Cricetulus griseus: one gene and its partners. The protein of the gene in region 1 interacts with the protein of each later gene in a biochemical or structural test. Links are inferred from orthologs where the notes say so. Each region holds a gene or a part of one and is shown in the gene's direction. Other genes may lie near its edges.

Region 1 (2,583 bases):
GTCTGTTCCGGAGCTGGGCCATTCACACAGGTGTGCAGGGTGGTGGGGCAGAGAAAAGAGCAGGGGAGGCTATTACCATGGAGGCTTTGGGTAGCTTTGAGCTCCTCGACACAGCATGCAGAATTATTGGAGCAGGGGTTGAGGTGTCCCTGTGTTTCCCTAGGATGGGATCCATTGTTTTAGCAAGTTCCCAGAGGATTTATAAAGGTGAAAATCTTAGAAAGCATGCCTTCAGGGAGTCTGTAGCTAGAATACAGTTGTTCCTGGCAAAGAGAGTTGTGAGTCAGGCTACCAAAGGAAACTTTCATCTTCCTTTCTCAAGGTACGGACTAGGGGCCTTGGCCCAAGCCTCATCTGGGTGGTGGCCTCCTTTCGGCTTTTAGGAATCAGGTTCTTGGTCCAATTAGGACCTGTTAGTAAATGTCCTTGTTGCCCACTCTGTACACATGTGTTCTTTGGAAACGTCAGATAAGCCTCTGTATTAGCCGTCTCTGGCTGCTGATAGTGTGAGCAGGGAGACTGTTATAACCGAAGACAGTGAGCACATTTTGGAATAAAGGCATTCAACTGAGCCCTTCACATGCCTGCTGGATGTCTGAGCCAGCCTTGGGCATGAGCCCCCCTGGGGGGGGTTATTGCCAGTGGTTTTTGCTAGTTTCACTAGTATGGGTGTCTGGGGTACACCTAGTCCAGGGAGCAGCTGATGGATGCATTTACTCTCCCTTTCTGTAGGCCGATACAAAATAGGGGAAAAAGAACCAGATCCCAAGACGTGGAAGGCAAATTTCCGTTGTGCCATGAACTCCCTGCCAGACATTGAGGAAGTGAAGGACCAGAGCAGGAACAAGGGCAGCTCGGCTGTACGAGTGTACCGGATGCTGCCACCCCTCACTAAGAACCAGAGGAAAGGTAACCAAGGGCACTGGGTCCTCAGAAGGAAGGGAAGAAGGGTGGAAGGAAGATCGGCTAGGGCTCATGGCCTGTTTGCCCCACAGAGAGAAAATCCAAGTCCAGCCGAGACACTAAGAGCAAGGCCAAGAGGAAGGTGAGTGTGGCTCTGTGTGGCCCAGCCTTTGGTCACCTTAGGTAGGGTGGGCAGTGAAGAGCACTGCAACAGGCCTAAGCTGTCTTCTCTCCACAGCTATACGGAGATGCTAGTCCTGACACCTCCGATGGACTCAGCAGCTCCACTCTGCCTGATGACCACAGCAGCTATACCACTCAGAGCTACCTGGGTCAGGACTTGGACTTGGAGCAGGACCTTACCCCAGGTGAGGATGCCAATCTGGCAAGAGAGCTCATAGGTTGGGTCCAAGAGGCACTGTGGTAGCAGAGAGTAGCCTGTTAGAGCAGGTTGCAGGGTGGAGGTGCCGATTTATGGCAGATTAAGAAAGCATGCCATCAGCCAGGTGGTGGTGGAGTATGCCTTTAATCTCAGCACTTGGGTGGCATAGGCAGGCAGATCTCTATGAGTTCAAGGCCAGCCTGGTCTCCAGAGCCAGTGCCAGAATAGGCTCCAAAGCTACACAGAGAAACCCTGTCTCGAAAAACCAGAAGAAAAAAAAAAAGAAAGCAAGCATGCCATCCTGACCTGTGCTTTGTACCCTCCTGTAGCTCTGTCACCATGTGTTGTCAGCAGCAGTCTCCCTGAGTGGCACATGCAGATGGACATTGTGCCAGACAGTACCAACGATCTGTATAACTTGCAGGTGTCGCCCATGCCCTCCACCTCTGAAGGTTTGTACCCTTTGGGCCTGGCCTGCCTCTGTTTGTGTTTGGCTCTGCAGGGGAAGTAGATGCTTAGAAATGTGCGTGCCATTGAGCTGATGGAGCTGGAACTGGGAACTGCTTAACCCAGCCCCCATAGCATGAAACAAGCCCATGGGACGCAAGACAGTTTAGAGCCTTTGTGTGCTCCAGGCCAGGAGGGAGGCAATCAGGCCACGGCCACATCTTGGTCAAAGGTGGCTAGTGCTCCTGGCTTCTCTGCCCTCAGTTGTCTGAGGTGAGGAAGGAAGTAAAGGGGTGGGATACAGCCTTGCTCCATGGTTGGGGAGGGTGAGTCATCAGGCCAGTGTCCTGTTCTGGAACCTCCAGGGCAGGCAAGATGCTGGTTGGAAGGCTGGGTGGGGGGCTTGGGGTTGGAGCTGGTGGGGTGGAACTTCAGGGCAAACATGTATAGCTAACCTCTGCCCTTCCTCACAGCTGCTACAGATGAGGATGAGGAAGGGAAGTTACCCGAGGACATCGTGAAGGTAAATCCTTTTCCATGCCGCATCTGTGAAGGGAGAGCAAGCTAGGGAAAGCTTCCAAATCAGTGTGGGCAGGTGCTGTTGTCACTTGGCTGCATAGCCCCACAAGTACCACCCCCCATCCCCACCCCCCCTACCTCCCACCCCCCCCACCTCCCACCCCCGTGTGTTGGGGGGACTGCTGCCTGGGCAGGTGAGATGCCTAGTCTCTAGCAGGCCATCCTGAAGCAAGCCTCAGGGTCCCAGACAGCTCTGAGTCAGCCCCCATCAGCACTGTGTCCTCCGCCCCAGCTTGCCCAGCCCATTCCCAGTTTGGGAAATGCACATCAGG
Region 2 (3,654 bases), on another chromosome or scaffold:
GATCTCTCCTCTCCCCAACCCTGCACCCCAGTTTTTTATGGGTTTGGAACCCAAGACTTTGTGCATGCTTGGTAAGCATACTGCCAACGGAGTATACATATCCTTAGTTCCTCGTTTCTTCATCCTTCTTTTTGCTGTACTGGGGACTGAATCCAGGGACTTGAACAGGCTTAGCAAACACTGCTGTACCTCTGGGCTATTTCCTCAGTCAGTCCTTTGGCTATTTTCTTCTTTTTCTATCATTCTTTGGCTATTCACTATGCTTCCTTCTGTCATCACCATGTCTCCAATTACTGACTTTCCCATATATATTGTTTTGTTTTTGGTTTTTTTTTGTTTTTTTTTGGTTTTTCGAGACAGGGTTTCTCTGTGGCTTTGGAGACTGTCCTGGAACTAGCTCTTGTAGACCAGGCTGGTCTCGAACTCACAGACATCTGCCTGCCTCTGCCTCCCAAGTGCTGGGATTAAAGGCATGTGCCACCAACACCCAGCCAAACATATATATATATGTATAATATATATGCTATATTATATATTTTTATGGTGGAAACTCCACCCAAGGCTCCTCCCCTATCTCCAAACCCTGCTGCATTTCATAAAGCCTGCCAAATGATGACCCTCCCCCAGAGAAGCTCAAGACCCCTCCCACAGGGTATTTAAACTGCCCCCTCCCCCCCAAAAAAAGACTTGTGGGTTTTCAGGTCTCCCTTCCCCTATCTCCCCTCTGGGGGACTGGTCAGAGATCTGGGAGCGTTGTATCCATTAAATGTGGGCTTTTTCTAATTCGGTTTGATTTGGTCTGGTTTGGATTGCTGCATCAGTGGAGAGGCTTATTGGGGTGTAGAAACTTTTCATATATTTATATCCGGAGCTAATGGAAGAGCAAGAGCATCTGGAGAACCATAATTAATACCATGATTAATATGAAGTTTAAACTGGTGACGGCCGGGGCTGGAGAGATGGCTCATTTGTTAAGAGCCCTGACTGTTCTTCCAGAGGACCCGGGTTCAATTCCCAGCACCCACATGGCAGTTTACAGCTGACAGCTGTCTGTAAACCCAGTTCCAGGGGATCTGATGCCTTCACACCAATACATATAAAATAAAAAGTATTACAACAAAACAAAACAAAACTGGTTACAGCCAAGAGTAGTGGTTAAGGATATCCTTAATTCCAGAACTCGGGAAGCAGAGGCAAGCTGATGCAATGTCCTTAATTTCAGACTCAGGAAGCAGAGGCAAGCTGATCTCTGCGAGTTATAGGCCAGCCTGATCTGCAAAGGGAGTTTCAGGACAGCCAGGGCTGTGTAGTGAGATCCTGTCTGGTCATGGTGATGGGGTCGGATGGGATGTTTCAATGCTAGGCATGTTGGCATTCCCCTGTAAGCCCAGCTACTCAGGAGGCTGAGGCAGGGGAACTCAGATAATAGCTTGACAGGCCACACAGGGAGTTTAAGACTGGCTTGGGGATTGGGCAATAGAGTAATCACTGCCTCAAATTAAAGCAAGCAAACAAAAAAGGCTGGGGATATAAGGCAGTCAGTGAGAGGTTCAGCACTTGCCTACAGTCCCCCATTAAGTTAGGGGGTTTGCTCAGTGGTGGAATGCTGACCTCACTTGCAGGAAGCCCTGGGCTTAATTCTCAGCACAATACACCCTCATCCATCAAAATGTATATATCTTAGTTTCTGTAACATCTAAGCGTTTATTGCTTAGGAAAAGGAATCTTTTTTTTTTTTTTTTTTTTTTTTTGAGACAGGGTTTCTCTGTGTAGCTTTGGAGCCTATCCTGACACTCACTCTGGAGACCAGGCTAACCTCAAACTCACAGAGATCTGCCTGCCTCTGCCTCTTGTTTGCTGGGATTAAAGGCATGCACCACCACTGCCCAGCAATTTCAGTATTCTTAAACAGGGAGATTATTTTTAATCTGAGTTTATCTGGTGTGTTCTAAATACATATATTGACATTTCTTGAACTTTTATTTTTGATTTTATGTATTTGGATATTTTGTTTGCTTGTTTTTTGAGACAGGGGTTCTCTGTTGTTTTGGAGCCTATCCTGGCATTCACTCTGTAGACCAGGCTGGCCTCGAACTCACAAAGATCTGCCTGCCTCTGCCTTCCGAGTGTTAGGATTAAAGGCATGCACCACCAACGCCTGGTGATTTTTCTTTCTTTTTTTTTTAATTATAATTTTATGTCCCTGGTGCTGGAGGAAGTGAGAAGAGGGCATTGGATCCCTTGGAACTGGAGTTACCGATGGCTGTGGGATACCACGCGGGTGCTTGGAATTGAACCTCTGATGCTCAGCAAGAGTTGCAAATGCTCTTAATCCTTTTGTTTGGGGCAGGGCCTCATTCTGTAGACCAGGCCAATCAGAACTCACTAAATTAACAATGTGCTTTTTTTGTCGCTGTTGTGGCAGACTATGTATCCCAACTTGACTTCACTATTTAGCACAGGCTGTCCTCGAATTCATCCTGTTCTGCCTCTGCCTCTACAGGGCTAGGATCACAGGCACCTGCCAAAGCACTGAGCTACATGCAACCCGTGTCTGTCCTGCCATGGGTCTTAGCACCGGTTTCTAGCTAGCTACAGGGCTTTTTTCATTTTGGGGGGACGGTGTCTGATAGTTACTTCTGTACTTTCTACCAATACCTATTAAAATTTTAAGTTGCACAGGGTGCGGTAATGCTCCGCATTAATCCCAGCTCTCAGGAGGCAGAGGCAGGCGGATCTCTGTGAAAATCGAGGCCAGCCTGGTCCACAGAGTGAGTTCCAGCACAGCCAGGGCTACACAGAGAAACCCTGTTTTGAAAAAGGAAAAGATTAAATTGCATTGGTTGTGGTGTGTGTATGTGTGTGTGTGTGGGGGGGGGGTGTGTGGTGAGTGCACACGCATGCACAGGAACCTAGGACAACCTGAGGGAGGGAGTTGGTTCTTTCCTTCCACTTTGTGGAAGGATTAATGATTAAACTAATAGGGTCAGGGTGGGTTGCAAGCGCCTCTGTTCGCTGAGCCATTTCCTCGGCCTCCATCGCCCCTCTCCCGCCGCTCACCCCCATCCCGTGCCCTGGTTCTGCTGGGCTGGTGCTGCAACCTAGGGCTCTGCACAGGACAGGCGAGCAAGCGTTCTGCCCCTCTTTCAAACCCCCAGGCCCCACCATTATCTACTTTGATCTTGCGTCTGGTACCCTAATATCTGCTCCGGGCCTAGGTAGCCTTAGTTCACAGGCCCCTTACCCTGGAGATCCCGGGGCCAGCTATGGGTGGGGCTGTGAAATACTCCCCAAATACTTCTACGGGACGCCCACACTTCCCCCCATCCCCCCCCCCGTGCTTGCTTCTCCAGCCTGCAGATTATGCCCTCCTTTTTGGAGGTAGGAAGTGAGAGTCCAGGCGCTGGGTCTGGTGGGGGCGTGGCCCGCTGGAGGGTGAGCGCTGAGCTGCGGGAGGAAGGAACAAAGGCTGGGGCGGGGACAAAGCCCCGGGCCCCCAGACGGATTGGGAACAAAGGCCACACCCGGGACAGTGGCGGGACACTCACTCCTCGCCTCTCCATTGCCACGTGGGGGACACCTGGTTCCCCAGCGAGGTGGCAGCTTCCTGCTGTTTAGAACCCTGGACCTGCCAGCGTGCAGCAGTCCAGACCT
Region 3 (3,112 bases), on another chromosome or scaffold:
CTTCACGGAGCTGCAGAGTGTGCAGGCCCCGCAGCTGCAGCAGCTCTACCGTCACATGGAGCTGGAACAGATGCACGTCCTCGATACCCCCATGGCACCGCCCCACGCCAGCCTCAGCCACCAGGTGCGTGCCGCTGGCTGTCCTCTGTCCCCTGGACCTCCAGGCCTGTGGTGAGGCATGGAAGCTTCACAGGAAGCTGACATAGGCTCTTACTCAACGTGGCTTCCTGCTCCACAGAGCCAACGGCAGCTGGTACCCCAACGGCTGTGCTGACCTCCTGACTGACCTTGTGAACCTACACCTTTATCTCACAGAGGATGGACAGACCCCATGTGACCCCCAGCACTCAGCCGCCTTTCCCACCCATTCCTGTTTGTGGGCCCTTAGGGTCCCACTGACTATAGTCCCCATTTACTCTCTTCACCATCTCAGCATCTGAGTCACTGAATGCTAGCCTCTACCGACCTTCTGGCTCCCCATTAATCTTCATTACTGACTGTCCCCTGCTCCAGGGACCCTAACCCCAGCCAGCGACGTCTGCCACCCCCTCACTGACTTCCACTGCCTTGTCATTGACTCATCACTCTCTTATTAAGCCCCACTCACTTCCTTATAACCATCTCACTGTTCCCCAGAACTCCTCTATTCCTAGTCCACTGTCAGGCCAAATGGCCCCTTGGCGTACATGAGAATAAAGCATACCTCTGCCTGCCCTAAACCAGAGGCTGCAGTGGGAAGGGTGGTAGGCTCAATAACTAGCAGCCCGTTGCACCATGACCTGCATCCCTGAGTTTTGGTCCAGACTAGCCTCTAGTTTTCCCTTCTCAGTTTTCCTGCCCCTGCCGGCCACACCCCAGCACTCCTTCTCTCACTCAGCCCACCCCTGCTGCAGCTCTGGGCTACCCCTTCTTGACTTCTAGCCTTCCCTTCCCTTTGCAGGTTTCCTACATGCCCAGGATGTGCTTCCCTTATCAGTCCTTGTCCCCGGCCCACCAGCAGAGCTCAGATGAGGAGGAGGGTGAGAGGCAGAGCCCCCCATTGGAGGTGTCTGATGGAGAGGCTGATGGCTTGGAGCCTGGGCCTGGTCTTCTGCATGGGGAGACAGGTAGGGTCCAGTCCCTGATCCAGCTGATCCTAGCTGCATTTACAACCCTTGCATATCTATAGCTAAGGCCACTTGGCCCAGAAGCCATGTTTCAGAGCTGTGTGTGTGTGTGTGTGTGTGTGTGTGTGTGTGTGTGTGTGTGTGTGTGTGTGTGTGCGCGCGCATGTTTGTGGATGATTCTCTACTGCACCGGTCTCTAAGTCTGTGTTGTGAGTGAAAAGGCATCTCTTCAAAGTGTGAGGGTCTGTGTGTGGACATCAGTATTATGTGAGCGTGTGAATGGAGACTGTATGTGTATATGTGAAGGCCTGAGTGTGTATGGGCCTGTGAGTGTGGGGCTTGTGAGCATGTAAAGGCCTATGATTGTGTGAGGGCCCATGCATGTGTGTAGAGTCTGTGAGTGTGTGTGGGCCTATGAGTGTGTGATGGATTGTGAATTTGTGAGGTCTTGAGTACGTGAGGGCTTGTGAGTGTGTGAGGTATCGTAAATGTGAATGTGTGAGTGCCTATATGTGAGGGCCTGTCGATAGGCATGTGGATATGTGAGCGTAGATATAGATATATGCATGTATGCATACATGTGACATGTAGGTGCAGGGACATGTATACATAGAGGGGTGTGAACGTGAGTGGGAGTGGGTACGTGTGTGCTTGCACCTACCAGGGTCACGGGGGGGGGGGGGGCGGTTCCTGGAAAGTCCTTGTGCCCCGTCCACACCCCACCTGAGTGTCCCTCTCCTTCAGGCAGCAAGAAAAAGATTCGCCTGTACCAGTTCCTGCTGGACCTGCTGCGCAGCGGCGACATGAAGGACAGCATCTGGTGGGTGGACAAGGACAAGGGCACCTTCCAGTTCTCATCCAAGCACAAGGAGGCGCTGGCGCACCGCTGGGGCATCCAGAAGGGCAACCGCAAGAAGATGACCTACCAGAAGATGGCGCGCGCGCTGCGCAACTACGGCAAGACCGGCGAGGTGAAGAAAGTCAAGAAGAAGCTCACCTACCAGTTCAGCGGCGAGGTGCTGGGCCGCGGAAGCCTGGCCGAGCGGCGCCTCCCACCCCACTGATCTCCTGCAGAGCCCGCCAGGCCCCCGGCCCCCGCCGGCCATAGCATTAACCCCTCGCCGGGCCCGGACACAGGGAGGACATTCCCAGGGCCGAGGCAGGACTGGGGGCCCGGCCGCGCCCTCCCACGCCTGGCCCGTCCCGCCTCGCTTCGCCTCCCACCAAGACTCTAGCCCGGCCCAAGGGCCACCTGGGCCTCGGACCCCACCCGAGGGTCAGCCTGGCTTAGTGGCCACGGTGCTTCCTTGGGAGTCTGGCGTCTTTGTATATTGATTGCTCTTTTTAAGGCTCTTCCTCCCCTCACCCACCCCTACCCATTAGCCTCCCAAAGAGAAGTAAAATTATTCTCAGCTATTCTCCCAGCGCAGAGTCTCATTCAAGAGTTTTTATGTGCCTGGTCCAGGGTGCACTACCCAGTGCACAGATGTCTTTCTTCTCACTTGTGCAGAGGACATATAGCCAAAGCTGGACTGGAGACATGGGGACCATGGACACACAGAGGTTGTTTCTAGTGAAACAAGTCCCAGGCTGTTAATCAGGGCAGGGATCATATTGAAAGGCCCTGTGCAGCAGAGGCTCAAGTCTCAGTGAAGCCTGAACTCATGATCTTCTGACTTAGACACGACAAATTAGTAGTGATGGTAGTGATGACAATAGCAATAGCACAAAGTAATTAAATAACTAGTTCGATGTCACACAGCTGGGACGTGGCCACGCCGGTCCATTCCAGGGCTGTCCATCACTCCAGTGCATGGTGGAAGCTCCGCCTATCTGGAAGAGGAAATGGTTCAGTTAAGTCCAAAGCTCCAGGCACCGTGAAGTATTCTGGTCGTTGTGTTTAGGGGCCTAGCCTTTACCAGGGGAACCACCTCTCTAGCCACAAAGTTTTCTTCACAGACTCCACAGGCAAACCCTTGGAGTCTCCCAGACAGCCTTTGTTTCAA

What was found.
Region 2: the proteins of Irf1 (region 1) and Trim28 form a complex in vitro, tested with the Homo sapiens proteins (2 studies listed by BioGRID). The link is inferred for Cricetulus griseus from reciprocal best matches to the Homo sapiens genes IRF1 and TRIM28.
Region 3: the proteins of Irf1 (region 1) and Spi1 form a complex in vitro, tested with the Homo sapiens proteins (2 studies listed by BioGRID). The link is inferred for Cricetulus griseus from reciprocal best matches to the Homo sapiens genes IRF1 and SPI1.

Annotation. Positions count from the first base shown.
Region 1 is NC_048600.1:67,924,866-67,927,448, forward strand, and holds part of Irf1 (interferon regulatory factor 1), read left to right. Parts: coding exon 1-30; intron 31-732; coding exon 733-909; intron 910-995; coding exon 996-1,045; intron 1,046-1,141; coding exon 1,142-1,271; intron 1,272-1,614; coding exon 1,615-1,737; intron 1,738-2,205; coding exon 2,206-2,255; intron 2,256-2,583. UniProt on the Homo sapiens protein: Transcriptional regulator which displays a remarkable functional diversity in the regulation of cellular responses.
Region 2 is NC_048602.1:25,608,727-25,612,380, forward strand, and holds part of Trim28 (transcription intermediary factor 1-beta), read left to right. Parts: intron 1-3,218; coding exon 3,219-3,270; intron 3,271-3,385; coding exon 3,386-3,569; intron 3,570-3,654. UniProt on the Homo sapiens protein: Nuclear corepressor for KRAB domain-containing zinc finger proteins (KRAB-ZFPs).
Region 3 is NC_048599.1:85,642,617-85,645,728, reverse strand, and holds the end of Spi1 (transcription factor PU.1), read left to right. Parts: coding exon 1-124; intron 125-940; coding exon 941-1,106; intron 1,107-1,850; coding exon 1,851-2,170; 3' UTR 2,171-2,478; downstream 2,479-3,112. UniProt on the Homo sapiens protein: Pioneer transcription factor, which controls hematopoietic cell fate by decompacting stem cell heterochromatin and allowing other transcription factors to enter otherwise inaccessible genomic sites.